Linked DNA regions of Medicago truncatula. The protein of the gene in region 2 interacts with the protein of the main gene of each other region in a pairwise test. Links are inferred from orthologs where the notes say so. Each region holds a gene or a part of one and is shown on either strand. Other genes may lie near its edges.

Region 1 (10,673 bases), on a different chromosome or scaffold from region 2:
ATCACCCTTCCTAGCTTTTGAGGTTGATCCTGTGGAGCAGCAACCATCCTTCCTAGCTCTTGAGCATGAGGACCAGCTACCACCCTTCCTAGCTCTTGAGGTTGAGCCTGAGGAGCAATCACCACCCTTCCTAGCTCTTGATCTTGAGGACCAGCTACCACCCTTTCTAGCTCTTGAGGTTGAGCCTGAGGACCAGCCACCACCCTTCCTAGCTCTTGATCTTGAGGACCAGCTACCACCCTTTCTAGCTCTTGAACCTGAGGACCAATCTCCACTTGCATTGTAGCTTCACCGAAATCTGTTATAGTATTATTCACTTCCACGATGTTGTCCACACTCGATACACCATCATTAACTGCATTATTCATATGAGGAACATGCATTGGTGATTGTTGTTGATTATTAATATCTTCTTCCTGCTGAAGCATTGCATTACTATTATTCGCTGTCAAGCTTCCAAGACCAACTGCGTGATCAGCTATATAATATTCACTTGGAAGTTGTTGCTCCCATGTTGCATATCCATGATGTAGGTTCATGTTGGGTTGTTGAGGAAAATGCCTTGGTAACAATTTTCTGGGAACTTGTTGAGAACTGCAAGCATATGCCATTGGATATTGTTGTTCTGCAACATGAGAATTGTGAGACCACTGTGATGATTCTAATACAACAGCATGAGCAGAAGCATCATAAGCTTGAAAATAAAGTTTTGGAGATCTATCATGTGAACTGTTGGATTCCACAACCAGGAGAGCTTGCTCATGTTCTTGTTGATGTTTATTTAAATATAATCTATATTTCTGCAAATCAAAATATATAACAATATAAATTACAGTTTCAAAATGCTAGTGTTAGTGTACATTAAATAATTCCCTAAAAAAAGTGTACAATTTATTGTCTTGGTTTAATTAATGGTATGGAAACAAGATTGATATCTATGTTTAATTTCATGCAAGACAAGCTTCTGCTTGGTTAAGTATTAGGGCATTTAATTTGAATGACTGAGAAAACTTTATAACTGAACAAATCAAAAAATCAAAATTTTGAGTTAGCTCCTTTTCAGGGTAAACTGGTAATATATATCCGAATGAAAGTTAAAGACTAATAATCCATAAAATATATTGAGATTCCTATAAAAGATTAATAATATGTCACAAACATATGTTTTCTATATACCCGTCAAATTTTCCAAACCATAAATAATTTTTTTTTTTGAAGGACCAAACCATAAATAATCAAATTTTTAGTTTACAATTATAAATCCTTTATTTATTCATTTTTGACAAACAAAAAAAGTTTTAATTTCAAAGAACGGATTTATCACAAATTTTATGGGTTAAAACGGAAATTACCTGAAGATGACTGCCTACCTGCTCCCTTGTAAGTCCAGGCACCTTCATATGTTCAAGAATTGTTTTTGGCACCGCCTCTGAAAGAAAAAAATAAACAAAGAGAAAGAGTGAGAGAGAAAAAAATTGTTATGACAAGTTGCAAAAATATAAATTGAACTTTATTTCCAAAAACAAATTTTACACTGTCATCTAGTATAATCATCTCTTCAAATCACTCCACTACATGTCACTTTAATGATATGACATGCATCAATAGTTGATTCATATTAGATGTTAGAGTAAACTACGAATAAATTGATTAAACTTTTGATAAAAACAAGAATAGGTAAAGAATGCGTACTGGAACTGGAACTGGAACTGGAAGCATCAAGTTCTTTAACAGCCTTCATGAATTGCTCATGTAATTCTAAAGACCATACCACACGCTCCTTCTTCGTCTTCTTCGTCTTCTTTCTCTTCTTTGTCTTCTTTGTCGGGGGTGGTTCGGGTATATCTTCGTCATTTAAGCATAAATTTGAATCATCTCTTGCCCTTATTTGGCTACCTTCAACCCCCAATTGCTCATTGATTTTTTGTTTTTTATTTCCTTTCATCATTTTCCTAACAGCATGATGCCACATATACTTTACTTGATTTTCAGAGAATGGCTTGACCCAACAGTCACAAGCTCCATTTTCAATTGCATTCAATATTCCAGTTGTTGATCCTTCAGAACACATCGTCACTGCACATATATGTAACATAAATAAATTATATAATGTCTCATCTCATGTAAGTATAAATTAATCATGTGATATGATAATATAATTAATTGTATATTTACTTACTAATGACAGGAATATCGATTTGTTGTGTCAATTGTTGCAAGAAATCAAATGAATCCATGTCGGGCATTTGAGTTTCAAGTAGTACCAAATCAAAATGCACCTTTTGTGCTATCAAATTCATGGCTGAAGAAACCGTCCAGCATGTCGTAACTGAAACAAAGAACACAAAGATTGAGACTTTCATAGGTTAACATAATTCAATTAAGAATCAAACAAGGTACCATATATTAATTTACAAACCTTGGTAATTGAATTGAGACAATTTTTTCTCAATAGCATTGAGAAGATGGATATCATGATCAATCACAAGAACTTTAACATTGGCTGGAAACACATTCCCAAAGGAAAAAGTCATTGCAAAAGAAAAGAATAGTTGTTTGTGAAGTGAAAGAGTGAGCAAGAAATCAAACACTATCACTCTTGATTTGATGATTCAAGTAAGGTGGTTTTAGCATATATATAGTCCAGTGAATTTCCATCTCTTGATTTGCAATGAGAGAGAAAGAGAAAAAAGGGAAAAGATGCATTTAAAGGTGGAGATTAAAACTGGAGAGAATCATGTGAAAACCTCACTGGAGGAGATCCATAGATGAAATCCAAAAACTGTAGTTGGATCCAATCGACTAAGTCAGCTGTATAGAACCTGTATTTTGTAAATTCAATGACACAAACCAGAATTTAGTCATAGAGTTGAATGTAATTTTTTTTTTATGGTAGAGCTTTAATATTTAAAATCTTATAAAATTAATTATTATTGTATTTTTCTAAATAAATAACAATTATAATAAGAAATAAGAAATACTACCAATTTTACTTAATTGGTCAAAGCGACTTTTCACAAATAAATAAATAAATAAAAGATATTTGGAAAAAATAACACAGTAAAAGGATAATAGGTATATTAGGAAATGAAGCAATAAATTATTTTGAATCAATGAATTTTATTATTTTTTTGTGATATTTTGATTCAATGAATTGACTAAGATTGGTTTTCAATATTGACCGATTGATTTTTTTTTTTTGAATAAATATATTGACCGATTGATTTTAAAATCAATATATAAATCTTGTTTAAATATAATATGAGATTAACAAAACGATGTATAAATCTTGTTTAAATATTCAATGAATTTTATTATTTATTTTGTGATATTTTGATTCAATGAATTGACTAAGATTGGTTTTCAACATTGACCGATTGATTTAAAATCAATATATAAATTTTGTTTAAATATAATATGAGATTAACCAAACAATTTTGTCCTTAACTCAAGTGGTTAATGAGTTCCTCCAAAGCATGAAGGGTTCGTCAAAATCTGAGTTTGATTCTTGCTGGAACAATGATCATGTCATGCTTACCTCACGGCCGAACGATAGATCATCATGAATCCTTAATTTTAATAATTTTGCAGTGGCTCCTCTTTGAGGTCTCAGGTTCGATTCTCTTTGATGTCAATTTGGATGGACTAGTTTATCTTCTTCAAAAACAAAGTTGCAGTGGTTTCTTAATTTTAATAATTTTGTAATCTTTATAAAAAAAAAAAAAAAAATACATGCATTTATAATACTGCTGAAACCAAATTTATTTAATTATTTTTAAACTCTAAGTTTTTGAACAATTTTTTAAATATTTGTTTATAATATTATAAAAATTTCTCAGCAAAAGTTCAAAATTTAATTTCAGTGTTGGTGTATTTGTTACTTTTAAATTGAGCTTTTGTCATTTAAAAAACTCATATACTGTTGAAACCAAATTTATTTAATTATTCTTAAACTATTAAATATTGAGCTTTTAACATTTTAAAAAACTCATATAATGCTGAAACCAAATTTATTTAATTATTCTTAAACTCTTAAGTTTTAGAACAACATTTTGAATATTTGTTTATAATATTATAAAAAGTTTTTCAATAAAAGTTCAAAATTAAATTTCTATGTCGAGGTATTTGTTACTTGTAAAAGAATTGTTATAAGTTTTTGAATAATTATAGATATGTATGTTTTCTTTAAAGAGTTAATGGTCTGATTATGTATTTATATATATTGCTTATTTGTTTCTTTGCAAATTTGTAGAATTTTAAAAAGCGAACAACCTTATAAAATGTATAACCTAATATGTGTAGATCAAACAAAGACTTACATGAAATTTATTTCAGATATGTTGTTGAAGGATTTCAAATCATTTATGTGATTGTTATTATTTTTAATAATGAATTTCTACACAAATAACTTACTAAACATTTTTTTCAAATTGAACTCATGACAATAATTTTATTCACCACAATTTTTAACAATATAACATTTTACATATAACTCTATCGTGCAAAGCAGGGATCCAGTTAAAATAAAATCAAACATCCCTTTAGCTCCAATATTCAGTTGTGTGGATTACAGACCATATATAAAATTTGCTTAACTGTAATGATTCTGAACACAAGTTATATCAACTAATATCAATGTCGTATAAAAAAGGTGAACAAATATAAGAAATTAGGGATTGTAAGAAAACAATTCTTAGCGATTAAACCTAAAACACATTGAAAGAAATTAGGAATCAAACGTCACGAAAGCATACAAATCAGTAATGATGAAAATAAAATAGATTTAATAGGAAGTTTCTAGTATAAAAAGTTAATATTTCATTTAACCTAATCTAACCTTTTAAAAATCCTAAACAAACATAACATTTTTTTAGAGTGTATTCTTAAAAAGCTCATGCATTTATCCCACTTCCATATTTATAGATGCAAGCCTATCAAGAATATTCGTATAGTTACGTACTCCACATAGAGTATAAATCTCATTAAAAGTTTATACTCATCATCCTCTCGTCGTGTCGAGAATCATGTATCTTTTAGTTTATAATAGCAGGATCGTTTAATATTGGTTCACACTTTGTTTTTAACCATTAAATCTAATTCTTAAGATCTCTAATCGTTTAAGTTGAGTTACCATCTCGACTTTCTATCTTGCTAAAACTTTTGTCAAATGATCAACTAAATTTTTATCGGTACATGTACATGATCTCCTCTAAAATCTCCTTTTGAGAGGAACTCTCTTACATTTACCATCATGATAAATGTAGAAACTAATAGATGGTTTGTCGATCATCCATGATCAATCACATATAAAATGAGAGGTTCAAATACCTACCTATACTATATAAAATCCATGATCATCATATCTACAGACTATAGGGAACCTAATCACATGCTTATAAATAGGCAAATTTTATGGTACATTCAATATATTTGAGTGTATTGATATACTCACTCTTTAAATTAATAGTTAAATGAATTGTTTTTTTTTTTGAAGAAAACTATTATTTTTTATCATTTATAATTATAATAACTAAATCATATTCATCAAAAGTGTCAACGAAATAAAATTAATTTTCTTTTGAATTTTTATCACTCATAGTTGAGAACTTGATTATTTTTTATGATAATATGTAAAAGCATAATAAATCAAATTTTGTTGAATTTAAGATTTGAATGTTGGTCCAAAAGGATTTAAAACCTTAAAATTTGATCAACTAAACTAGATAATATTGATCATTAGTATGTCATATTATATATTTATAATTAAATTGATTTATTTTAAAAAAAAAATTAACCGAAAATTTTGAGGCCTAAAACTCTCACTTAGATGGATTTGAAGCATGGTGGTTTGATACTTATCATATTTTGATATGACTATACACACATTATATTTTGATATGATATGATATTTTACCAAAAAAAAACGTGACCATCGAAGGAAGAAATCAAATGGAAGTGATGAAACCACGACACCCCTTGTAACTAAAAACTAAAAAAGACATGTGAATTTCCCGCTAAGTCACACAAAAATATCTTGTCTTGGTCTCAAAAAAATAAAAATAAAAATATCTTACCTTACCTTTCCATTCCATTCCTATGACGTGGTGAGAAAGAATTCAGTCACAGATATTTTCCTATCATATCAAAAATATCTCTGCTGCTTACCATGTGTTACACCATGTTGACTCTTTTCTTATTCCAATTCACCCCTCACTTTCTTTAAAACTACAAAAATGCCACTACCTCCACAAACACAAACCCTTCAGTAGTTTATTCTTTTTAGAAGGTTATTTCCGTCCATAAAACTCAAACATTCTTTCTTATTACATACTCCTAGCTTTGTGTTTGTCAGAAAAAACAGAACAAGTTTGTTTCGTTCTGACAATAGATAGATAGAGAGAGAGAGAGAGAAACATGGCTATGGCAAGAGATAAAAAAGAAGATGAAGAAGAGGTTCATAATCAAAATCAAAAGGTTGGGAAGAGATTGAAATGCATGAACATGATGAAGAATGAACAAGAAGAAAATCAAGTAGTTGATGAAGAAGAAAGTGAGCTTCCATTAAAACCAGAACTTTTCTTCTACCCAACAACACCAACATCTTTTGTTGTATCAGATGCACTTGAATCAGATTTTCCAATCATTTATGTCAACAAAGTCTTTGAAATCTCAACTGGGTATCGTGCTCATGAAGCCCTTGGTCGTAACTGGTAAGATTTTTTTCATTTCTTGCATCATAATTTTGTTGGGGTTTATCTTTTTTGTTGATTTAAGGTTGGGATTTTATGTAAATTTTATAAATTTACTTCATTTAATTATGATCCACTTTCCTTAAACTAAAAATAAACCCTTTTATCAAACGGTGAAAATGATTCCATTCCTTTCAGATCTATACTATGTTGAGATTTTATAGTGCCAATTTTGTTTCATTTTGCAAACCCCATTTTTATGGAATCCATTCTTTCTAATTTTGATTCCCCTAGCTTCCTTCTTATTGGATAATAAATAAATTTTATTTTTATAAATTTCTATTTATCAAATTTTATTTTTGTGATTTCACAATTTGAAGTTTATTTTCCATTCTCTTAATTTAACTTTTTGACAACATGGTTACTTGGTAAACATTGTGATGTGCTTAGTACTTTCCATAATAATTAAGGTTCCATCAATTGATTGTGCTTGTGAATTAACTACTTGTGAAAAAGATTTTGTTCTGAATGTATTGATCAAAGATGTGACTCATAGAATCAATGATAGGGAATTGTCCTTTTTGGTTATATTTGATATTTTCATTCCTTTTTTACAAGATATTTCTTTTAGATATTTTGATTTGGTTCACTTTTGACAAAATATACCTCTAATTGCTTTAGAATTTCTTTTGTTTCCAGCCGGTTCTTACAATATAGGGATCCTAGAGCTCAGAGACGGCATCCTTTGGTGGATCCAGTCGTTGTGTCTGAGATTAGAAGATGTCTTGAAGAAGGTATTGAGTTCCAAGGTGAACTTTTGAATTTCAGAAAGGATGGTACTCCCTTAGTCAACAGACTTAGGCTTACGCCAATTCATGATGATGATGGAGTCGTGACACACATAATAGGTATCCAAATCTTTTCCGAGGCAAACATAGACTTGAACCGCGTTTCTTATCCAGTTTTCAGAGAGACTTGCATTCAAGATTTTGATAAAAATGCTAAATATTCTCCCAAAAGTGGGAAATTATTGTACACTCCGCAGAAGCGCGAAGAGATGTGTGGCATTCTTCAGCTTTCTGATGAAGTCTTGGCGCACAACATATTGTCACGCTTGACACCGAGGGATGTTGCATCGATCGGTTCTGTTTGCAGGAGGATCCGTCAATTAACAAAGAACGAGCACGTTAGGAAGATGGTTTGTCAAAATGCATGGGGCAAAGAAGTGACAGGTACATTGGAACTGATGACCAAGAAGTTAGGTTGGGGTCGTCTGACTCGGGAGCTTACTACTCTTGAGGCTGTTTGCTGGAAAAAAGTTACAGTTGGAGGCGGGGTTGAGCCTTCACGCTGCAATTTCAGTGCTTGTGCTGCAGGAAATAGGCTTGTATTATTTGGAGGTGAAGGAGTGGATATGCAGCCTATGGATGATACTTTTGTTCTAAATCTTGATGCTAAGAATCCAGAATGGCAAAGGGTTAGTGTGATATCATCCCCGCCCGGCCGATGGGGCCACACACTCTCTTGCTTAAACAGTTCTTGGCTAGTTGTTTTTGGTGGATGTGGTAGGCAAGGATTGCTCAATGATGTGTTTGTGCTTGATTTGGATGCTCAACAGCCAACATGGAAGGAAGTTTTCGGTGAAGCACCGCCTCTTCCGAGATCTTGGCACAGCTCATGCACAATTGAAGGCTCTAAATTGGTTGTCTCGGGCGGCTGCACAGATGCTGGAGTACTTCTTAGTGACACATATTTACTTGACCTCACAATAGATAATCCTACATGGAGAGAAATTCCAACTTCATGGACTCCTCCTTCTAGGTTAGGGCACTCACTCTCAGTTTATGGTAGGACAAAGATTCTCATGTTTGGTGGACTTGCAAAGAGCGGACACTTAAGGTTAAGATCAGGTGAGGCTTATACAATAGATTTAGAAGCTGAACAACCACAATGGAGGCAACTAGAATGTAGTGCATTCACAGGTTTATCAAATCAAAATGCTGTTGTACCTCCTCCTAGACTAGATCATGTTGCCGTAAGCATGCCTTGTGGGAGGGTTATTATATTTGGAGGTTCCATTGCAGGTCTTCATTCACCGTCTCAACTATTTCTATTGGACCCTGCCGAAGAGAAACCGACGTGGAGGATCCTCAATGTTCCGGGGGAACCACCTAAATTTGCTTGGGGTCATAGCACTTGTGTGGTTGGAGGGACTAGGGTTTTGGTGTTGGGTGGACATACCGGGGAGGAATGGGTACTAAATGAGTTGCATGAGTTATGCTTGGCAAGTCGACAAGACTCTGACATGTGATGAGTGATCGCTTATGAAAATCAACTGAACCGGATCCTCTACAGACAGTCTATCCGAATCTCAGTTGTTGGATTAAGCTGCAACTCGGATCAAACGGTCGAGATTTGGCTGAATTGGCTGCAGAGAAGAGGATCTAGTCTGAAATCAAACCATATCTCTTCTCTCAAGACAAGTTTTTGGTTACAAAAGAAAAGTTTACTTTCGGTTTACTTAGTAGTTTGGTTTTGTTTATAAACTATATTGTATGTCTGTTATATGCCATTTGTATTATGAGTATATTTACCACGGTTTATGTTTGTATGTGGCTCTAGGAAACCTCTCTCTATATCAGTTATATTGTATCATCTCTCCTTTTACAATTATTTCTTATGAAAATTCTTTTATTGATTTAAAAAAAATTCATAATATATAGACTTTTTACACGAATAATCCTAGAATCAGTGACAATGTAAAACTGTTTACACTTTACATTATTGAAAGTAATTTAACTTTTTCTTTTTGAAGAAAAAAGTAATCTAACTTGAATACACTCTTAAATGCATTAACAACGAAAAACAAAGGTTAAGCTTGAAGAAAAGGACAGATAGAGACAAATAAAAAATCAAGAAAATACTCTATCTATCTCATTAAAAGGGTTGTTTAACAAGTGATATTACTCGGATTGTTAATAAATTTTATCTAAAAGAATTGTCCCAGAGAACCTGAATTTGATTTTTTTAATGGAGCAATATTTGGTCGCATCAATAAAAAACATGAACGTCGTTTAAATGTCACACTTTTTAAGATTAGAAATTAATGTATCAAAAGATTAAGGGGGAAATGGAAGTGTTGAAAGTGCTGGAAGTTGTTATGAATATTGTCGAAAAAAAATTGTAGACTGGAAGTAGTCAAGTGAACTATCCATTTTTGAGGAAAATGAACTGTTTAATTAAATACTAAGTGTTTATATTATAGACATATTTTATACATTTTATTAACGTGAAGACCATCATCTTTAGTAAAATATTCCCTCAACATTTTTTCATCCACAAGCATCAACCGTGAGACTCTATTTAAAGGAATCCAAGTTCAATTTTAAGAGTAATGTAATTTTTTATGATAAAGTAGACTAATGTAATATTTGTAGCGTTTATTACATTATTTTTTTTAATATTACATTAGGTTTTATGAAGAAATATTGGACAACTATTAGGTTTTCACGACAAACTTTGAAGCTTTTACTTCAAGCTTATTCTCATATAGCAGATAATAAAATATTGAGTTAAAATGGTTAGCTCTTCTGAAAGAATCAACTTAATAATAATAATAATAATAATAATTGTTGAAAAATACGCAAACGACAACTCGTTAGTATATAAAATCACATCATAGAACTCAGTGGCTTTATACACTGGGCCAAAAGAATATATGCAAGTGCAAATCAATTGCTTGTAACCTTAGACTTTTCTGTTTGAGTTTGATTACAAAAATAATAAGACAACAAAATCTATAGCAAATCTTCCTCACAGTATCTGTTGTAAAATGTGGGATCTTCCCTATTTCCAAGCCACAGAGTCAATATCGTCTCTCGCTTGCTTGTACAATTCAAGCCTCTTAGCTATTTGATTTCTCTTTTCCATCAGGGATGGGTCTTCATCCAACATGGCACCCAATTTCTCCTTCTGCGTTTCATA
Region 2 (10,619 bases):
CTTCCTGAATTTGAAATTCAAGTTGAAGAGTGTGTTGTTACATGATTGAATGTATTTAGTCATGTGCCAATAAAAATTTAGGTGAATAGTCTCACTCAAAGTTTTCATTGGGGCATGATATAAAGTTTCAAAGATTAGAGGAAGTTGAACTCTGTTTCTGTTGAACATGAATTTACTTCTTACTTACTAGACCAACCTCTATTCACTTTGTTCGAATTCGTTTATGAAAGAGTATAACTCTTTTTCATAATTGTTTCTTGTGATCAAGTAGTGCATTCTTCTCTGTATATAAAACAACTACACCATCCAATTAAGCTCATTCTGAATTTGATGCAGCCCTTATAAATAAGAAAGTTATTCTATGCGCCCCCACACTCCTCACAGGCCCCCAAAATTTTGAAAATGCCTCTGTAACTTCAGGGGGATCGGAAAATAACTTCCGATGCACCAAATTATGTTCCAAAAGAGTATGATTGTGAATTTACCAAGACTTCCCAACTTGTTTGTTCATCAATCTATCCGGTTCTTTGAATATCTAGTTGTTTTGAAATGTAGCACCAGCGTTCTATAATCAAAATATCGGATAGATTGATGAACAAACGGGTATGGCACTCAGATAGTAAATTAGAATATCTAGTCTCGATTTTAATAGTTATGAGCACAGATCGACTACCAGGGGCACATAGATCAACAAGCCTAACAAGTATTTGAGACTTGAGATATTGGAGAATTTGAAACTTGTTTCGCATAATTTGGAACTTGTTATACAAAACAAAACAAAAATTGGTATAAGAGTTGTACAAAACTTTGAATGAGAATATATTGTGTTGAACACTTGAACCATTTTGTAAGAAACTTGTTGGATAATTGATGTTGTATAATATTTTATCACCAATAAACAAAATACAATTAACCGGTTGCTGTAAACACAAACAGAGTCATACTAATATGATATTGTACAAGAAGCTCCAACATTACATGATAAATCAGCGAGACCTAATAAGTACACAAATCCTTAAAAAAAAAATTAAATAATGAGACACGACAATCTCTATAAAACTATATAAAATTACAACTGTATATCAGGTTATTATTAAATATATATCAGGATCTAGAGGAAAGGCAAAAAAAGAAAAATGGTTTTACACAGCATATACAGATCAAGTGGTTTTGGTACTTAAGAAGTCAAGGAAACAAAATTTTGAAGCAACTAATGCTAACAAAGCACACTATCCTCTCCACTAAGTCACATATCTGCTAATGTAATAATCAGTATTCTTAGCAATCTTTTTCTCCAGAAAGAGAATCAGGATTCGGTTGGCGAACAAATTGTCCTTTAACTCGAGGACGCTGCTCTGCTAGTTTCTTTCTGCTCTCATATCGAACCTGTTAAAAAGTATAAATAAGTTAGCATAATATGAAAACAATGATGATCATTGATCTTACTTGTATAATTACAAGCTCATATTGATGTTGATATTGATATACCTTCTTCTCATAACATCTCTCTTTTCGTTTCAAACGGAACTTGTTTAGAGCTGCTTCTCGTAGCATAGCTCGATGTGAATATCCACTGTTTGTGAGTTCTTCATTCTTTCCCTCTGAAACTGCTGCTGTTCTGAAAGTGGCAACTTGTTCAACATTGCCACTACTTCCACAATTACTTCCATAACCAATGCTGTTAAAATTGCTGGCATTTCCATTATTACAAAAACTACTGGATACACTTTGATCAGTTGTAGGGGAGATAAGTCTTTGATCCTCTGGATGTTCTGACTTGTGTTCCTGTGTATACATAATTTGGTTTGGAGTACTGTTTCCATTTGGACCGCGAGGTTCGTAAAGCTGCTCTGAATTATTTTGTTTAACATTTGACTGATAAAATGCATCTGCTTGAAAGTTTTGTTCGAGAAACACAACTGAACCGGGCATTGATGGTGGACCTGATTGTGTACGAAACCCTGGTGGAAGTGTTGAACCATAGGCCATACAAAGATCATTGAACCTTACACCTTTCACAGGAATTGGGAGAGAATGCCTTTGCTGGGAATGTGAAGTTGCAAGTTCAGATTCTTTTTGCATACTTGGTATTGAACTATCTGAGTTATGGTTCTCATTATTTGTTTTTTGTTCTCTTGGTTGATCAGAGAAGTTAATTACTACGGCAGGTGATGCTTGCAATTGCCTATTAGTATACCTGCATGAATGGAACACCGTTTCAGTGATAAGCATGCAGAATTCAACAGAGTGGAGAAGTCATAGAGACCACAAGTACAAAATTCATACACTTTCTATCTTCATCCTTATAATGTTCTGAAGTTCTTCAGACTCATCACTAAGATTACAACAATTTTTAACTACACGGAAAGGAAAAAATTAGAATAAAAAGGGATTTAGCAATTACCGCTTGAAAGCTGAAGCATTAGAATGCATAAGGGTGTGCCTTTCTTCGGTGAGATCCTTCTCAAAGTTGCTGGGATGAGAGCTTCTGAGAGAAAGATCCAACTGTGGAGAATGGTCAAACTTGCCTGTGCAATCAATTGATGAATTTTTGAGACTGCAATTCGGATCAGTACGAAATGCTCCAATCAAGTCAATAGCTTCCTTAGTAGTAGAGTAAATTTGAACATAGTGATTGTCATGAACCTCACCACTGATGCTAGCATTCCTAAAATGCTCTTGATCATCTCCGTCCTTGCAATTATTTGCACCTGTCTCTCCATTTTTACAGTTATTTGTGCTTGCCACTCCATTATTGCAGTTAGCCACGCTTAATCCTAAAAATAAAAGTTTGTTCAAATTTTAGATAGTTCTTCCTTGTGAGTCGAACAAAATGATATTGCTGTGAAAGAAAGAAATTTACCTCCGGCGTGACTGTCCTGCGCGATCACAGCCTGGCCTAAATGAATGTCAAGTTCTCGTGTCTTTATTTCACTTGGATATGCTTCCGCACATTTCAGCTGAGAAAATTCATGCATGTTATCAACCAGGCCACTCTCAGCTTCCATGTTTGGCCTTGTACAAGAGCTCTGTGCGTCACTTCCTTTCTCAATTAAGTCCTTATTCCTTTGAATGCAAGCAGCATCACCACCAGAACGATTACTAGCAGCGTTGTTTTCAGCAGTGGCTTCAAACTTCTGTTGTGTATCACTTTCATCTTGAGGGCCATTTATGCCAGCGGTTGCGGCTGACTGCTGATAGAGTAAACAAATAATAAACATAAGTTCAACCAATTTTGTTAATAAATTCTTAGTATTTTAGGGAAAAACTGAAAACGAACTGAAAATTGAGAGAGCAGAAGTCCTACTGTTTGTCTTCTCCAAACATGTTGCCACAAATTCCTTAGTTCATTTATTCGAATTGGCTTAACAAGATAGTCAGCTGCACCTCTCAACATGCATTTGTATACTGTGCTAACTGAATCTTGCGACGACATCACTGGAAAAGCATGAAAAAAATACAAAACAATTAATATAAGTATTAATAAGGAAAAAAATTGACAAGCAGAAAGAAAATTTATCTTTAATATCATACTTATGACAGGGATGCTTTTGCAAATATCATGCTCCATAATTAATGTGAGAAGTGCATAGCCGGATATGGCTGGCAAATCGACTTCTGTAAGTATTAGATCAATACTGCGCGGTCTTCCTTTGAGTATTTCCCATGCCTTCAAGCCATCAGCAACAGCAGCAACTGCTCAAAACAGATCAAAGTTATTTTGAAGTTCTAGAGCTTAGATTTACTTTCAAGTACACTAATTTTGTTTTTCAAATTACAACACAACCAAGATAAAAAAACTCAATAATATAAAATCATAATGGCAGATAAAAATTGAAAATAAATTGAATAATTGTACCAAGTTTATGGCTTAGCCTAGTAATTTCCATACTGCTATAAGACTCTATTTCAAGGTGCCATAAATTCCTAAGATTTTCAGCTAACAAAATCCATGTCACTTTAAACCAAGTTGCTTGGGCTCCAATGGCAAGGAGCTCCTTCCAAGGACGTATCCGGGGAATACCGGGTTCGATTCCCGGGGGGAACAACGCTTGGCAAGTGCCCATGCCTCTACGCATGAGCCGGATTAGTCGCTCACCAGTGGGTCGGAAACCGGTGCAAAAGCCAAAAAAAAAATCCATGTCACTTCTCTGTAAAAAAATCTACATGATTTTTTACATTTTTTCTCATGAGTTAAAATTTATCAAACCATATTAAAAACAAAATGTCTTCAATTAATTAGTGCACACAAATTTTGTTTTCCATCCCCTTAATTTTTATCTTTATTTATTAAATCAGCAAAATCTACAAATCTATCAGTACACCCTTGAGCCTTGATCCTTTCCAAAATTTGCAGTCCAAAAACTTCTAAATTTATAATTACTAGTAAGCTTTTTCCCCCTGTTTTTGTCATGTGTCAAATATATACTCTTAATTAACAACAACTCAGCCTCAATATAACCCAATATTCACAATTAATTAAATCAAAGTTTACACTAAAAAAATATGAATTTGCACACAAGAAAAATTGAAAATTGAGAATACTTACAGAAAATTAAATAACCAATTAAACACAAAACAATATTACAAAAACATCAGCTTGTACAATAAAATAATAATAATAATAATAGAAATAGTACCTTTATAGTTGCATTTTCTAAGAAGTGCTGTTATAATCTGTCTTGTACAATCATCAGCTTCAACCAAAAGCACCCTCAAAACCATTTTTGGCAAGAATTTCTCCCACCTCATAAGCCCTTTCATTTCACCACCACCACCAGCACCTCTACTCTCAGTTCCTCCGCTCCCTTCTTCTTCCCTCACCTTCTCTTCTTCTTCTTCCACTCTCACTATTTTCTCACCACTCATTACAACCTCACCCATGTTGTTGTTTATTGGATCCAAAGACAAGAATCAGCGTATAGCATCAGAATCTTTGTTCAAGAAAACAAAACCTTAGCACACAACAAAAATATCCAATTTGGAAGGTGAAAAATAAAAGAAAGTAAGAAGAAAGAAAAAAAGCAATATATTGTATATATATGGATATTGTACAAGATTTTTTAAGGTAATAGAGTTTGATCTAATGGTACAGATTGTGACACCAAAGGTAACAAGGTTCTAATCCAACGGTTATAAAATATATTCTTTTAGCACAAAATATCTAGAAACCATGCAGACACTGGCCCACATGGTCCACGTCATCAACTAGATCTATAAAGAAATAAACCCGTGGTTGGTGCTGCTGTATTAGTGGTGGATATCATTTCAATCACTCATTTATTCAATTTATTCAAACTATTTTTGTGCTTTAATTGTTTGGTTATAACTTTCTCTTGAATTCCAAGTTGTGTCCAAATGGAAAATATCAAGGGGATATTTTTGTATGAGGGACAATTCGGAATGCACATGGACCCATTTGGAGAAAGATATTAATTTTTTTAATCCAAAAAAATGAAGATATTTTTGAGTGCTTTGAGGCTGTCCAAGAATCCCATGGACAATAGTGATACACGTGGCAATTTAGTTGAGGATGTCTTGTTTTGTGGCTTTGAAGTCGTCGAACTCTATCTATGTCTTCACAAATCACATGCTGCGGGCAGATGTTGGCTACTCGCTCTTTTATAGGTCAATATATATCATCTATCAAAATTTGACTTGCAAAATAGTAAAAGAAGTGATAACATGTGTTATTAATTCTCGTCATATATCACATACTTGATAAAGACAATGCATAATATACGTAAAGTCATGTTAACCAGTGTCCGGGTTAAGGAAACCGAAAAAAGTAAGTTTTAAGATAAAAATAACATTTTTTATGTTTTTGAAAACTTGACAACGCAAGTTCCAATGCAATACTTACTACATTTCACTTCTTAACCAGTGTGTCGGAGGCACCGATTAACATTACCTATGTATGTATGGAAGGGTCAGAATTTGAATGTTAGACTCATTTATTTTTTAGTCATCAGATCATCCAACAAAAAAACTCATGATAAGAAATTTGAAGTGAAAATTTCATTTTAGAAATTGTGTCTATTTATCTTTTAAAAAGTTGTAATTTATTTTTTCCCAATAAATAATGTTATTGGAAATCGAACTTAACTCAAAATTTTCTTATGCTTTTGTCCCAAACGAAGTTAAATATTTAAGATTGTTGCCAAAATTATAGAAGCATGTGTGAAAGGAAAAAAAAAAACAATTGAAAAACAATGAGAAACATGCTGAGGAAACCCAAGAGATGGAAATGGATACTTTTCAAACGAAAGCAAGTTTTTATGTTATGTTAGTTGAGAGATGGAAATGGAAATGGAAATGGATACTATCAAAGGGAAAAGTTAGTTGATTTGTTGAGGTTTAAAAAACAATGTATCAAATGATGGTAAAGGATCTCAAATAAGAAGTTCATCAACAGTTAGTAAAGGCTTTTTTATATACAAGTGCCACTCCTTTCAATTATAATAGTAATGTGGAGTTTGCAAGAATTGTCTGAGATGATTGAAACGTATAATTGACTACAAAAGCTTAAAAGAAGATTCGGTGATCAAATAAGTTCAAATTGAGAACCGGCCATTTGATTTAATTCAGATTCAAATTGAAATAAATTGAGTACTCAAATGAGCACAATTGGTACATCTTGTATGAAGTTTCATCAGGTTAATCTGTTCAGAGACTCATACATATTTTTGTGACAGCATCAATTTATGGATACCATAAAAAAGATGCTCGATACAGGTGGAAAAAAACTCAAATGAGTAGTTGACTAGCATATATATAAAATGCTTTAGTTAAGCAGCGAGGAGCCTGTTTGGATAAGCTTATTTTGAGCTTATACAAAACAGCTTATACAAAAATAAGCTTTTATATATTATTTACAAGTTTGTTAAGGTATTTTGTGAAAAAAAAAAACAGTTTATGAAGATAAAATTCTCGTTAGTAAGAGCTTATAAATTAAAATAAAAACTTAATTATTTACATAAATCATTTTTCATAAACACAAAATAAGCTAAATCCAAACCGGCCCTAAGGGAGGCGATCTCTCAGTATACAAATGGATTACATAGACCCGAACTTCGTGTTAATGCTAATAATCCCTTGTAAAATAGATTTGTACACATCATAATTACTTTTTTTTGTCATGTATGTGACAACATTTTTTCAATTGATATGATGCCATGTTTCACACCTATTGTTCTGTTTTATTTTCTCAAACCATTTCAATATGATAGAAACAAATTATTGATTAAAAATTTCGAACAAGAAACTGGGACGAGAACGGTGACACCACTTGCACCATTGACATTAATACATAAGAAATATTATGATTATGAGTTCAAACTCTCGTAATTGATGTAAAATAAAAATAAAAAAACTTGCCGGTGCTATCATGTACTCCCTCTGTCCCTATATCTAATAACCCTTTTATTAGAGGCAAAGGATGCTTACATATAGGAACGGATACATTAATACATAAGAAATATTATGATTATGAGTTCAAACTCACTGCTAGTATCGTAATTGATGTAAAATAAAAATAAAAAAACTTGTCGGTGCTATCATGTACTCCCTCCGTCCCTATATCTAAAAACCCTTTTATTAGAGGCAAAGGGTGCTTACATATAGGGACGGATGGAGTATAAACCAAAGTGAAAATTTCCAGCATGACCAAAAGAACGCAAATTGGTAATTCGCTTGCATGATAGTAGTTTGATAAATTACTTTGGCCAACAACATATCAGTCAAAAGGAAGCCTATATTACATTTAGTTTCATGAGCTCTTCTCACGTACACACTAACTAACTTCTGTTTAGATAATTTTAACAACGCATTTCAATAATGCATTCAAACATAACTAGCACTAAAGTCCACATCAATACGTACTCGATTCCAACCATGTTAGAGATGTCACAAGGCCTATATTTACTTGTTTCACGAACGTTTGGGAAGTGTATATGGCACATGCTTATCCTCACAAATAGCCTGAAAATGGGCATATAAGAAAATAAATAAATAAATAAATAAACAAAGTTCAACATACAACAGTAATTCAGTGTAAACTGTTCGATAGGCTGATACAAGAGAAAGGCAAAAAAAAATGTTTTTTGTGTATCAGGCAGCTTTGCACAAATGTGAGCAAAACTTTTATTTTGTTATACAAGTTGAGCAACACTGACTTCTTCATACTTCATAATAGAACAAACAACTGATTGCAAAAATAACCTAATCTTAGTTGCCATGGCCAAACATTATAACCACTTGAGCATTTAATGAAAATCTCAACTCAGAAGGCAACGGTGTTTCACATAACACATCCTGTGTGTTTAGAGCTTCCCTAAATTTTTAACACCTTTGCAAAAGACAAAGAATAAACTGCCAACTATTTTATATCCGACCAGGTAAATTAATGGATAAAAGCACAGCCTAGGGGGAAATCCCCAAAAAAAAATACTTAAAGTTAAATTATGGTTTTTGAGAGAGTGGCATAAAAAAAGAGGTGCACAATCTTATACTTGAAAAGAGACAACTATGTAATAACAAAAACAAAGTCCCTTATCAAAAATAATAGTAATGTATGCTGAATCTATATTACACAAATAGAAAAATACAAACCTGCATATCGTCTGGAAGAGCCTCTGAGACAGCAAGAGTGTAAACACCAGGAACAAATTTTCCTGCAACATATAAGAAAAACTTTAATTTCCACATCTCAGTTGTGTGCAAGATTTCAAACTTCAATCTAGATAGAGATTCTAAAAAAGAAAAATTAAACGGCACTTCACAGTTGAAAGAAAAAAATAAACAAAGAAGATAAACTTCAAATGAAAAAAACACCACAACAATTTCTCTATCTCTATAATAATATACACATTTAGCTCACACAAATGAAAATTCTCTCCAGGTGCCACTCACTAAATTACATCACCAGTTTTTAATTCAGAGGTACTAATTTACATGTTTTGAATCAACCCCAATCTCTTTCTCTGGCACCATTCTTTATAACAAAAAAGGAAAAGCTTCTCACTTGCTCGTTTTTTTTTTTCAAAATTCAAATTTAACTGGTACAATTTATATCACATTCCTCTTCTATCCATCTCTTTGCTCTCCGCCCATCTCTCACTCCTCTGCTCAGTGCCCATCTTCCATAATCAAAACATTGTATAACCTACATCTAAAACGTAGCCTCTTCTTCAAAACAGACTAAGAAAATGGGGTTCTTGACTGTAAATGGAAAATCTTAACAGCAACTAAGGTTTATGATTTTGACTGTGACTCTTTATTTCTATATAGATTTCAATTGTGACTTTGTGATTTTCTGCAGCTGTAGACATTGTGTGAGCTTTATTGTAGCCGGGCTTAGATGGCATGTACTCTATCCTTGTCTTAACATATGAACAAATCGCTGTCTCCACATTCTCATCTCAACTTTCCTGAAATGATGAAATTGTGAGATTGACGGCGAATGACTAACTCTTTAGTCTTTTTCTTCTCATTTTAGTGCTAATTGTGAGATTGTATGTAAGTTCATTTGATTTGGATTTAATTTGATACTCAAAATGTGCACTCACAGGGTGTTTTTGAAAATGTCTTACAACAGGAAATGGAGGGAAAATGTAAACAGCCAAGCATGAAGCTTTCAAATGATATGCTTTTATATTGTTTATGCTTTTTTTTTCCTTTGAATGTATAGACATGTTTAAGGAGTTTGTCAGATACAACCACTAAATGTTTATATACTCCTTCCTTATTAGACATTATTGGCAAAATCTTTGAATGTGATTTCATGTTAGAATTTGGGCAGAGCTTACAAAACTGGCTTGTAAGGTGAGGGGTGTCAGTCTATATACTAATGATCTAGGATAGCTCTAATACCATAATAAGTACTAGAGATTTCTGCCATCAAGAACGATGAGAATAATATGGAAAATTACTGGACTTAAAAACCAGAGGATCTTAAGACTGCAAGGGTGCACGAATAGAAAAACAGAGACGGTAGCTTCAGACAATGAGTGAAGAGCAAGGGTTTGCTGGATAGAATTGATAAAGACTCTGCATCAGACAAACGACCTCGAAAACAGGTTGAAGAGGCGCCCACGAGATGACCTGAACCGACAGCTTCTTGATCAAAACGATTTACGACGGCAAGTGGCCAATACGTGCCGAAAAGTCTGACGGATTGTTATGGCGAGTGGGAACTTCTTCGGCGACGAAACTTCAGAGGGTGACAGATCAGAGCCTTATAGTGACAAAGCCACCACGTGTGTCTAGTGTAGTGGGTGGCAGACCAGACTTTAAAAGAAAATTAAAAAGTATAACTAGCGTGACCAAGCTTTGAATACGATCTTGAATGAATTGCTTATGAGTATCAGAAATCTCATAAATTAACACCACGAGAGTATATAACGTACTATTCACCTAAACATTAAACAGTACTTTAATCTTCGTCAGCTAGAATAAATTTCATAATTAAATTTTGTATTCCTCTTTCTAGGACCTTACTTGAACCCTTTAACCAAAAGGTTGAAACTGCAAAGCATTACCATAACTCAACACATGTAATACATTGATTTGGTTGTGGTTGAGTTGCAATTTGATACTCATAGTATATGCACCATAACAAG
Region 3 (9,945 bases), on a different chromosome or scaffold from region 2:
TTTTACTACGTGCATGGACCTTTCAAACATAGTGAAAAATCCCCTAACCAAACCAACCCCATGGCCATGACCCATCCATGTATGGTACTCCTAGCTATAGCCTAATAACTAGGCTCACACTATTTTTCCCTAGCTTACAGAACCTGACAATTAATAAGCAATTCAGGGTCATGTCATGTGGGTGCACAGAGGTTATAAACAAACAAGCGGGAAAATAAATAACAAATTGGGATTGTAAAGTAAATTTAGACATTCATTTTGGCCCAAATTAAAGTCAGTTTAATTAACATTACCCTAGTGAGTGAGTAACACATGGTTATGTATTTATGTCACACAAAATAATAAAAGCTGACATGCTATTTAGGAGGGAACCAATAAGAGCACAAATAAGGAGACAACCAGCCGATACATCCCTATTCACGGCAACCCATGCAGCAGAAGGATGAATGAATCAAATGGAATCAAATCAAAATCAAAATCAAAATCAAACAAAAAGACATCACTAAATACATAATTTTATGACCAATCCCCAACTTGTCTTTTATTTATCATTCATTACCTAGATACAACAAACCATTCACTCTTTGTTATGGTATTGCACAAAATAAACAGTACTATAGTACATCCAAAAATATTCAAATCAAGACAAGCACAATTATAATTGTAAAATTCAAAATATTTAATAATGTCACTTCATGGTTTACCAAAGGCAAGGCATGTACATTGGGGAAGAAATCAAACCAACAAAAAACAATGCAATGTGGTCAAACAATAACATTACTAGAAAAACAAATCATCTAGTACCAGTTCTTCTTCCGGTTTATAAGAGAAAGTTAGATCAACAGAAGTTGATGTATTTAGTTTAAATTCTGAACCAAATACAACAACTGTAATTGACACGATTTTCTCTTGTAAACAAGACTAAAACGAATATTTCACAAGTATACATCAACAAAAAAAAATTAGGCTAAAAATTAAGAAATGACAAGTAATAATAAAGAGAGAAAAATTGTTTTTATGACGTACCTGCTAGAAGAAAATGGAGGAAAAGTGAAACTCTTCAGTTTTTGGGTTTCCCTTTCTGATCTGAATAGAGCTGCAAGCTGCTACCATCAAAAACAGATGAAATCAGATGGTGTTGAATCTGGTGATGGTGATGATGATTATTCTCCATTGTAGGAGCAGCTGAAGGTGAAGCTGAAGCAGGAGAAGAAGAAGCAGAAGCACCTCCTCCACCTCCTCCCATGAAAAAAGGTAGATTGTTGGATCCATCTAAAGGTGAAACTGCAAACCTTTGAAGATGAGACAAAAGAGACGGTGAATTGGACTGAAGGGTCCCCCTATTATAACCAGCAAGGCCCGAAGAGATTGTGAAATTCAGATTATAATCATTGTTGTTCCCGCTTGGTTGAGTAGAAGAAGAAGTAACCACATTTTGCATCATATGATCTGGTATGAATGAAAATGGATGCTGCAAATGATGCTGATGCTGATCTTGAGAATGATTCTCACCACTAGTACTGAATGGTGAAACTGAATTAGACATTGTCATTGATTGATGATCATGAAGTGAATGTCCTAATAGATGATGATGATGATGTGCCCTTGATGATGAAGATCCTGGAAATACTTGACTAAAGTAATGATCCATTGGTGCTGAAGAATTCCATTGCTGCTGCTGCTGCTGTTGCTGTCTAGCTTTGTTGAAAAAACTAGGTTCTTCAGCTGACCCTCTTGGACTATTTGTGGTAGTAACAGTATTGTTGATTCCACAAGTAAGTAGTTCAGTGAATGAAGCTGTTTGAGAAATGGAAGAGGTCACATTGTTGTGATGCTGTTGATGAGTATTGTGAGATTCATGATTAATCTCTTTGTCCTTCTCCTTAGCAGTTCTTTCTCTTGCTCTTTCTCTAGCTTTGACACGGCTCACACGAACATCAGATCTTGAAAGAGACAAACCAGAACCTTTACTTGTCTCAGAAGTGCTACTACAACCAGATTTAGACAAAGAAAGATTCTGACTTTGATAATTGTTTTCACCATTCTCAACAACCATTTCAGAATCATGAACTGAATCAACACCTTGTTCACTTGGCTGATTATTACTATTATTATTATTATTATTATTATTATTATTATTATTAGGTGTATCACCAGAGAATAATGAGTTGTTGAGTGAAGGTAGTTCTGAAATAGCATCAGAAGCTGATTTTATCAACCATTCAACAGCTTTACTTGGTTGGTCATAACCAAGTCTATCTTGAAGATCATAAAACTGAATAGCTGTTGTAACAGAAAGCCTAACCCTTCTATCTCTTAAACCCTTTGAAGTCATTACTTTACTATGCCTATCTTTTCCACCAGAAGCTCTTGAAACCCTTATAATTCTTGAAGAATGATGCCAATTATTGAACCTGTTAAGATTTGCACTTCCATCACATCCTCCTCCACCTCTTCTAATGATATCTCTTCCATGATTTTCTTCCTCATTTTCAACTCTTGGGAATTTATGTTGGGCTTGAATCTCATCCTCCTCCATACCACAATCATGCCTTTGCAAAAACAAACCAACTTGGTCTAACTTCACTTTATTATTTATCTCAATCTTAACTTAAATTTCTCTCTGGTTGTGCAGTGCAGAGAGAGAGAGAGAGAGAGAGAGAGTGTGTGTTTGTGTGTGGGGTTAGCTAGGTATATGTCCTTTGCATTGATGATGATGAAAATTCAGAGACTGTTTTGGCTGTGTAGTGATAAAAAGGCCTTTTTTACTCTCTGATATATCACGGTCCAAGTCAGGAGGCCCTTCTTTAGCTTTATGCAGTTTTGCAGAACAAAACCCTTTCAAAAGCAAAACCTCTTCTCTTCCTGCAAAACTCAAAACCAACCACACCATTAAGGCTTAAGCAAACCAACTCAAAATAATTACTTTCTATCATCATTAAAAAAATACTCAAAATTAAATTGCATTAAATTTTCAAAACAAAATTAAAATACACTGTGTAATGTATTGTCTACATTCTTTCTTTAACAGTACACATCATATAAGATCTGATTAGTAGCTCATAGCATAGCATAGCATAGAGCCTCAAAAAACCTATATATTTTATGAAAAGCTAAAAACCTTGTAGAGCCCTACATATATATGTACCATGGATCTGAACCATTCAGCTTTGTTTTTAAGCTAAAAAAGCAGCAAAATTTGCATAAGGGTATCCGATCTAAGCCAAACCCTTTTATAGCTTCTGCTAGTATAGTATTTATAGCATAGCATATACATTAGAAAGCAAACTATAATACAGCTACAAATTAACATTTTTTTTTTTAATGAAACACTATTGCTCAAATAAATAAAATGATTAAAAAAATGTTGAAGGGTAGGTCATTACTAAGAACAATGTTTGGTCGGAGTTTTGTGACAGGTGTTGAGATGTTAACAAAAGACAGAAAAGAAACCCAGTTGTTGTTGATTACTCAACAACTGCAGTGTCCCTTAAACTCAAACAGCTCACAGATCTGTGCACTTGTGCTTCCATTGAAACAAAATACAAAATCTTAAAATGAGATGTTCCAATATTTGTTATTATTATTTTTTTCAGATCAAGTAATACCCCACTAAGCCAACAAAAGAACCCATCAATATAAAATTCACAAGAAGCTTCATTGTTACAAAAATCAAAGAAAAAGATGAAAGTGGCTTCATGTGATAGGTACGTAGGAAGTGAATTAAAGACAAAAATATGAGATAAGACCTTATTCTTTGCTGCTGATTTTCATGAATTGTTGAGATGGTCTTTCCTTGTTTGAGTGTGTAAAATGGTACCTTGAAATGCAAAATAAGATCATAAAATTATTGTTTTTTCTTTTTGTTTTTGTTGTCTCTTTCTTTGAAACTTCAACACAATACCTCAAATCAACTTAACATATTTTTTTGAGTTTGATTACAGCTTACAGATTTTTTTTTTGTTTCTTGAACATGTAAACTATGCTTAGAGAGAGAAAGAAAGTGATGTACACAACACAAAACAAAAATGTTTGTTCTAGGGCTGGTAGTTTGGTGGGTGAGAAATAGAAAGAAAATGAAGAAAGAAAAAAAAACCAAGAATTGTGTGATTTGTGACAGGTAGAGAGAAACAAGTAAAAGAGTTATTAAGAAGGAGAAGGATTGTAGTTGAAGTTGAAGTTGATTGTCCTCGCCATTGGAACAATGAACGAGCTTATCGGAAAAGACCAGACACGGTGCTGTTTGTAACCTCCTCTCCTTAATATTTGTCCCTCCTTTCTCTTATATTTACTTCAATACCTTATCTATCTATAGATAGTACAATCAATCAATTATTATTATATAACAAACTTTATAAAAACCAAATTAATAAATATATCAAGGAAAATAATTTAATTTGTATATATAGTGAAAATAAAATTATTTTACACTTGCATTCAATGGTATGTTGTCACACCCTTTAATGTAGATGCAACTTATAATACACAAACTATGTCAAAATCCAATGTGAATTTCGCGAACATCTAGTGGTACGACGAATCTTGGACTCGAAAATCACGGGTTTGAGTTTCGTGATTTGGAGAAAAATAAATGTAAATACATTTATAAATGTCGTTGAGGCTGAAGTTTTTTTTTAACTCGTACTAAAGCATATCTCCTCACACTAAGCACATAACTTATGTAAATACATTTGTAAATGTCGTTACAGTTTATTTTAGGCTAAATTGCATTTTTGGTCCCTTAACTATTTAAGTAGTATCGCTTTGGTCCCTTAATTAAAATTCGATTTATTTTGGTCCTTTAACTTCTATTTGTTATACATTTTGGTCATTTCCGTTAGTTTTATTCAAAAAAGTTAGGTTTTCTTCATCTTCTTCTCCTCTTTTTCTTCTTCATATCATCTCTGTCAAGCTTCAACAACAAAAATCCTAGAAAAATTCCAGAAGAAAATAAAGAAAACCTAACGTTTTTGAATTAAAACTAACAGAAAGGACCAAAATGTGTAACGAAGAGAAGTTAAGGGATCAAAATAAATTGAATTTTAATTAAGGGACCAAAGTGATACTATCTAAATAGTTAAAGGGCCAAAAATGCAATTTAGCCTTTATTTTACCTCAAACTAAAGCACATCTCCTCACCCTAAGCACATAACTTGCCATCCAATAGCATGAATATATATATATATATATATATATATATATATATATATATATATATATATATATATATATATATATAAATGGAGAGAGAGTTATGAACCCTCTCTTACTTACACTCTCTCTTACGCCAACTCTCTTATTAGGTATAATCCATGTGGAGTAGCACATATTGAAAATAGATCTCACATAAAGTGATGAGATCGACATCGATTTCATCCAACAAGAGAGTGAGTGTTAAAGAGAATGCTATAATGAAAGTGTTCCTAACATTTATATATATTGTTTAATTTTAATTAAAAAGTGTGGACACAACTTAAAAGTCAAGAGTGTTAAACAAACACCCCTAACATCATCAAAATTAACAAGAATAAGTTAAGAAAACTATGATCGAGGCTAATTCCATAACAACTACTATTGATGATTCTTTTTTCTCACTATGATCGAGGGTAACTCCATAACATCATCGAAAATAACGAGAATAAATTAAGAAAACTATGATCTGGGGATAACTCCATAAAAATTACGATCGAGGATTTTTTTCACTATGATCGAGGATAACTCCATAACGTCATAAAAAATAACAAGAATCAATTAGGAAAACTATTATCGAGGATAACTCCATAAAAACTACAAACGAGGATTTTTTCTCTCGCTTTGATCGAGGTTAACTCCATAACATCATCGAAAATAACAAGAATAAATTAGGAAAACTATGATCGAGGATTTTTTTTTTCCACTATGATCCATGATAACTCCATAACATTATCAAAAATAACAAAAATAAATTAGGAAAACTATGATCGAGGATAACTCTATAAAAAGAAGAGGAGTACCTCATATTATGAAGAAGATTTGCACAATAATTATCTTCTCTAAAAACACAAGGGATAGAAAATTAGGATGGATGAAGATGGAGAGTTTTAGAAATTAGGGTTCATGGTTCCCCAATCTAATTCTCTTCCTTTTTATAATTTAATTAATTCATTTTTTAATAATTAATCAATTAATTTTTAATATGTATACAATCAACTATTTCAATTAATGACATGAAAAATGAATAAGCCAACACACTCATGTCATGTCACTGCCACATCGTTAATGGGAATGAGAAATCTCTAAAATTGTTAGGGGACTTGAAAAAACCCAAAAAATATAAAATAGGAGGACAGAAATAGTGGTTTTAAAAGTAGGGGGACTAGAATTCCGATTAAGTTAAAATAAGGGGATTTATTGGGTGTAAGCGGTTCGGACTAAACCAACGAAACCGAAAGTCCAAACCGAACCAAATCGAAAAAATATCCGACCTTGTTTGGTTCGGTTTGAAACCGATCCGAACCAATCAAAACCTTTCTAGTTTGGTTTAGTTCGTGATTTTTCATTTCGAGATCCGTGAAACCAATGAATCAATCCGATGATAACCCCACTCCTTATTTTACTAATATTATCCGGGAACTTCTATGGTACACTCACAATTTTGAGTGTACCGGTACTCTTGTTTCACAAAATATATAAATTAACGATCAATTTAATGAAATAAAAAGGTATTTGTCAATATTTATATTTTATAAAACATCATTTCATAAGAAAAATCATCATTTCATTGTTTATAAGGATCATATTAAAAAATTTACATTTTGTCATAAAAAATAATCAATATTCATTGTTATGAGTAATAAAAATTCTTAAAAATTAAATTTTATTTCGTCGAAGCTTTTGGTAAATAAAATTTAATTCTCTTAGTTGTCAATGATAGAAAATAATTATTTTTCTTCAAAAAAACAACTAATTTATTATTAATTTTACGACTTGGTGTACCGATACACCCAAATTTATTGGGTGTACCATAGAATTTGCCATATTATCCTACCTCACACAAACTTATGATTAATCCCAAAATTAAAGTCCAACATAAAATACTTTTTAATTCATTCACTTTCTCTCATCGTTATCTTCATCTCATCTCATCAGTCAGACTCTTTTTCATTTCTACTAAAAAATAAACCCTAGCCATCAATCACACCAAATCAATTGTTCATCACCATCGGCCACCGCTGCAATCGTTTATCTCTTGGTTAGTTTTTATCATGTTTATGCCATTGATTTGTTATTTTGACTATGTTTAAATTTTAGGATGTGCTTTTTGGAATTTTTGTGTTTGTCGATGAATGATGCATGTATGTATCATGGATGATTGAAATATTTAAGTTTGATGAAGTTGTTTTTGAAGAATGATGGGTGAATGAATTTTGATTCATATGTATGAAATATTGATTAAGGTTAGTTATGAAAAGTTGTTTGAAAAATAGAAAACATGAAAAACAAAATATGAAATACAATTATACAAAGTTCTATGAAATATTTTTGTGAGAATATGAATTTCTTTTTAATTGTATTATTAAACAAACCGATCAACCGAACTGAACCAAACTGATTAGTTTGGTTCGATTCCTTTTTGAAACAGTGAAAACCGAACCAATCCGAATCGATGAAGATTTCATCGGTACAGACATTTTTTTGATTGAAAACCAATTCAAACCAAACTGTTACACCCTTGGGATTAAAAGTGCATTTAAGCCTAAAATATAATAAAACACGGAGAGAGTTATATTCAACGGAGAAGTCCATAATTCTTTTTTTTTTTGATAAAAAAGTCCATAATTCTGCCCAAACTACATTAATAGATCTCAAAGGAGTCAAACCTTTCCCCAAACGGCCATTAGAATCACGACTTCTAACAAAAAATTAGGCACGGTTTGGTTTTAATTTATATCACTGTTTATTTTGAAATTGATTCATGTAATTTGTGGACTAGTTGATTTCAGTCCATCAAATACAAATGACACTGATATTTTCTAGACTTCCAATCCAATGTTTGTTTATAAATATTTGAGACGAAAAAATTGAAGACCTTAGGGGCCTGTTTGATTATGTTTTAGTTTTTAGTTTTTAAATACTATTTTGAAAATCAATTTTTAACAACTCTTTTTAAAAATAAAAAAACACAGAAAAAGCTGTTTGGTTTATATTAGTTTTAAATGTTATAAAAATTATTTTTTTATTTACTAGATTGCCATTAATGAAAATTAATCACTTTTCCGTATTTTTCTATTTTGAAAAGAAATGAGAATTGGAGAACTGAAAAGCAAAACGGCATATACTAGTTTTCGGTTTTCAGTTTTAAAAACAACAATTTCTAAAACAGTTTTTAAAAAAAGTTTATCAAACAACTTTTCAAATTTTTGAATTTTAAAAAATAAAAAACTGTTTTTGGAAAGCGAATCAAACAGACCATTACTTCTTTTTTCTTATCTTTCTAATTTTTTACAAAAAAATTTATACTACTACGTGAAACAAGTTATATGAATTTGTTATCCATTCTACTTCTATTCAATTTAATTTAACCATTTACTATTATGATTGTAAATAACTGCTATTGTGAGAGAACTCTACCCACTACCCACATATGTACGTACATATATATTGGACACATTTGAGGTGTTAACAGTTAAGTTATCATGATTTCTTCAAAAAAAAAAAGTTAAGTTATCATAAATTTTTCATGTTACATGTTACGGTCCCCTCTTATTATAAATTTGGTCCATTGTTCAAATAAGGGGTTGTATTTCCGGCTTTCCGCGTATAAGATTTTGTTAAAAAATGATACCGAGCCTTTCATTAACCACATGTCACCATTTGAGTAAATATTTTGAATTGTTGGTGAGATTGACGAAATAGTATTGACCACGTAATTTTGTTAAAATTATGTATGTTTTGTCAAAGTTATAGTAGTGTATATATCGGGATTTTGACAAACTCATCGTTATTTTAAACATGAATGTCTTGTTTATACAAGCACATTATAAGAAAAATATATATTTTTTTTCTTTCGATAAGCATTATATAATTAAATGCTATTAGGTAGGTAATTATCTTATGAATGTCCTTCAGAGAATAGGTTATGGTGTGTAATAAAACTATAAAATAGTTGGCTCTAGTGTTGGATTATGAGAGGAGTTAGGGGGACCGTCTACATCGAGGCTAGAACAACCACTCAAGTAAGAGAGACATCACATTCTTACCCAAAACCTTAAGACAATGGGTTTATGAGTCCTCTTACTTATAAGGTGTTCAACCTTTACTATTTTATCCGATGTAGGACATATAACTCACACTTACAAACCAACATCTAGTGGGTTTTTAATAAAGCTCAATTTCTAAACCCCGCATCACAATAGTTTTGTTGTTACTACTTGCACTTGAAGAAGTTGCATAACAATTTCCATACTTTCGAATAAGGGTCCTTTAATTAGATTAATTAATTATATATCTATGGAGAACGTTAACTATATCAATGTCCCTGAGATATTGGTTAAGCAAACAAAACAAATAAGATTTCGTAAAAAAATTGTGCAATAATTATTTGATCAAAAATATAACTTATATTTTTAAAATAAAATTTATTATTTATGAATTCCTTAAGAAATGTGTCTCTCCGATTAACAAGAGCTTATATTTATTTAGATGTAATTATCATGATTCTTCTAGCATGGTCGATACTCTGACGCATGAATTTATAAAAGGACTGGCTGCATTAATCAAACACTTTCCTTACAATTAATTAAAGATAAAGGGACCCTCCTAAACGAAATACGTCCAAAAATTAACGCCAATTGAAATTAATAGTACATAGATTTTAGGTATGTATTCATTCTCCTTCCTTAAGCAAGCCAAAGATTAGAACAATTATATTTGACAAATTAACCAGAGGTAACACGGTTGATAGGG

Evidence for each region.
Region 1: the proteins of two-component response regulator-like APRR9 (region 2) and adagio protein 3 interact in a two-hybrid assay, tested with the Arabidopsis thaliana proteins (2 studies listed by BioGRID). The link is inferred for Medicago truncatula from reciprocal best matches to the Arabidopsis thaliana genes PRR5 and FKF1.
Region 3: the proteins of two-component response regulator-like APRR9 (region 2) and transcription factor TCP2 interact in a two-hybrid assay, tested with the Arabidopsis thaliana proteins (2 studies listed by BioGRID). The link is inferred for Medicago truncatula from reciprocal best matches to the Arabidopsis thaliana genes PRR5 and TCP2.

What each region holds. Positions count from the first base shown.
Region 1 is NC_053049.1:48,668,309-48,678,981, reverse strand, and holds adagio protein 3, read left to right. Parts: upstream 1-6,333; 5' UTR 6,334-6,414; coding exon 6,415-6,710; intron 6,711-7,388; coding exon 7,389-9,000; 3' UTR 9,001-9,344; downstream 9,345-10,673. Other genes in the region: transcription factor SPT20 homolog, read right to left, coding at 1-800, 1,353-1,429, 1,693-2,076, 2,180-2,329, 2,420-2,534; dynamin-related protein 1C, read right to left, coding at 10,536-10,661. UniProt on the Arabidopsis thaliana protein: Component of an E3 ubiquitin ligase complex that plays a central role in blue light-dependent circadian cycles.
Region 2 is NC_053044.1:45,866,959-45,877,577, reverse strand, and holds two-component response regulator-like APRR9, read right to left. Parts: upstream 5,022-10,619; 5' UTR 4,885-5,021; coding exon 4,641-4,884; intron 3,697-4,640; coding exon 3,535-3,696; intron 3,439-3,534; coding exon 3,308-3,438; intron 3,195-3,307; coding exon 2,864-3,194; intron 2,778-2,863; coding exon 2,405-2,777; intron 2,198-2,404; coding exon 1,489-2,197; intron 1,387-1,488; coding exon 1,279-1,386; 3' UTR 905-1,278; downstream 1-904. Other genes in the region: transcription elongation factor SPT4 homolog 2, read right to left, coding at 7,930-7,980, 8,611-8,672. UniProt on the Arabidopsis thaliana protein: Transcriptional repressor of CCA1 and LHY, thereby controlling photoperiodic flowering response. Involved in the positive and negative feedback loops of the circadian clock. With RVE8, forms a negative feedback loop of the circadian clock.
Region 3 is NC_053049.1:38,108,274-38,118,218, forward strand, and holds the start of transcription factor TCP2, read right to left. Parts: upstream 4,299-9,945; 5' UTR 3,750-4,298; intron 3,654-3,749; exon of another isoform or gene 3,387-3,653; intron 2,866-3,386; 5' UTR 2,540-2,865; coding exon 1,061-2,539; 3' UTR 1,027-1,060; intron 1-1,026. UniProt on the Arabidopsis thaliana protein: Plays a pivotal role in the control of morphogenesis of shoot organs by negatively regulating the expression of boundary-specific genes such as CUC genes, probably through the induction of miRNA (e.g. miR164). Participates in ovule development.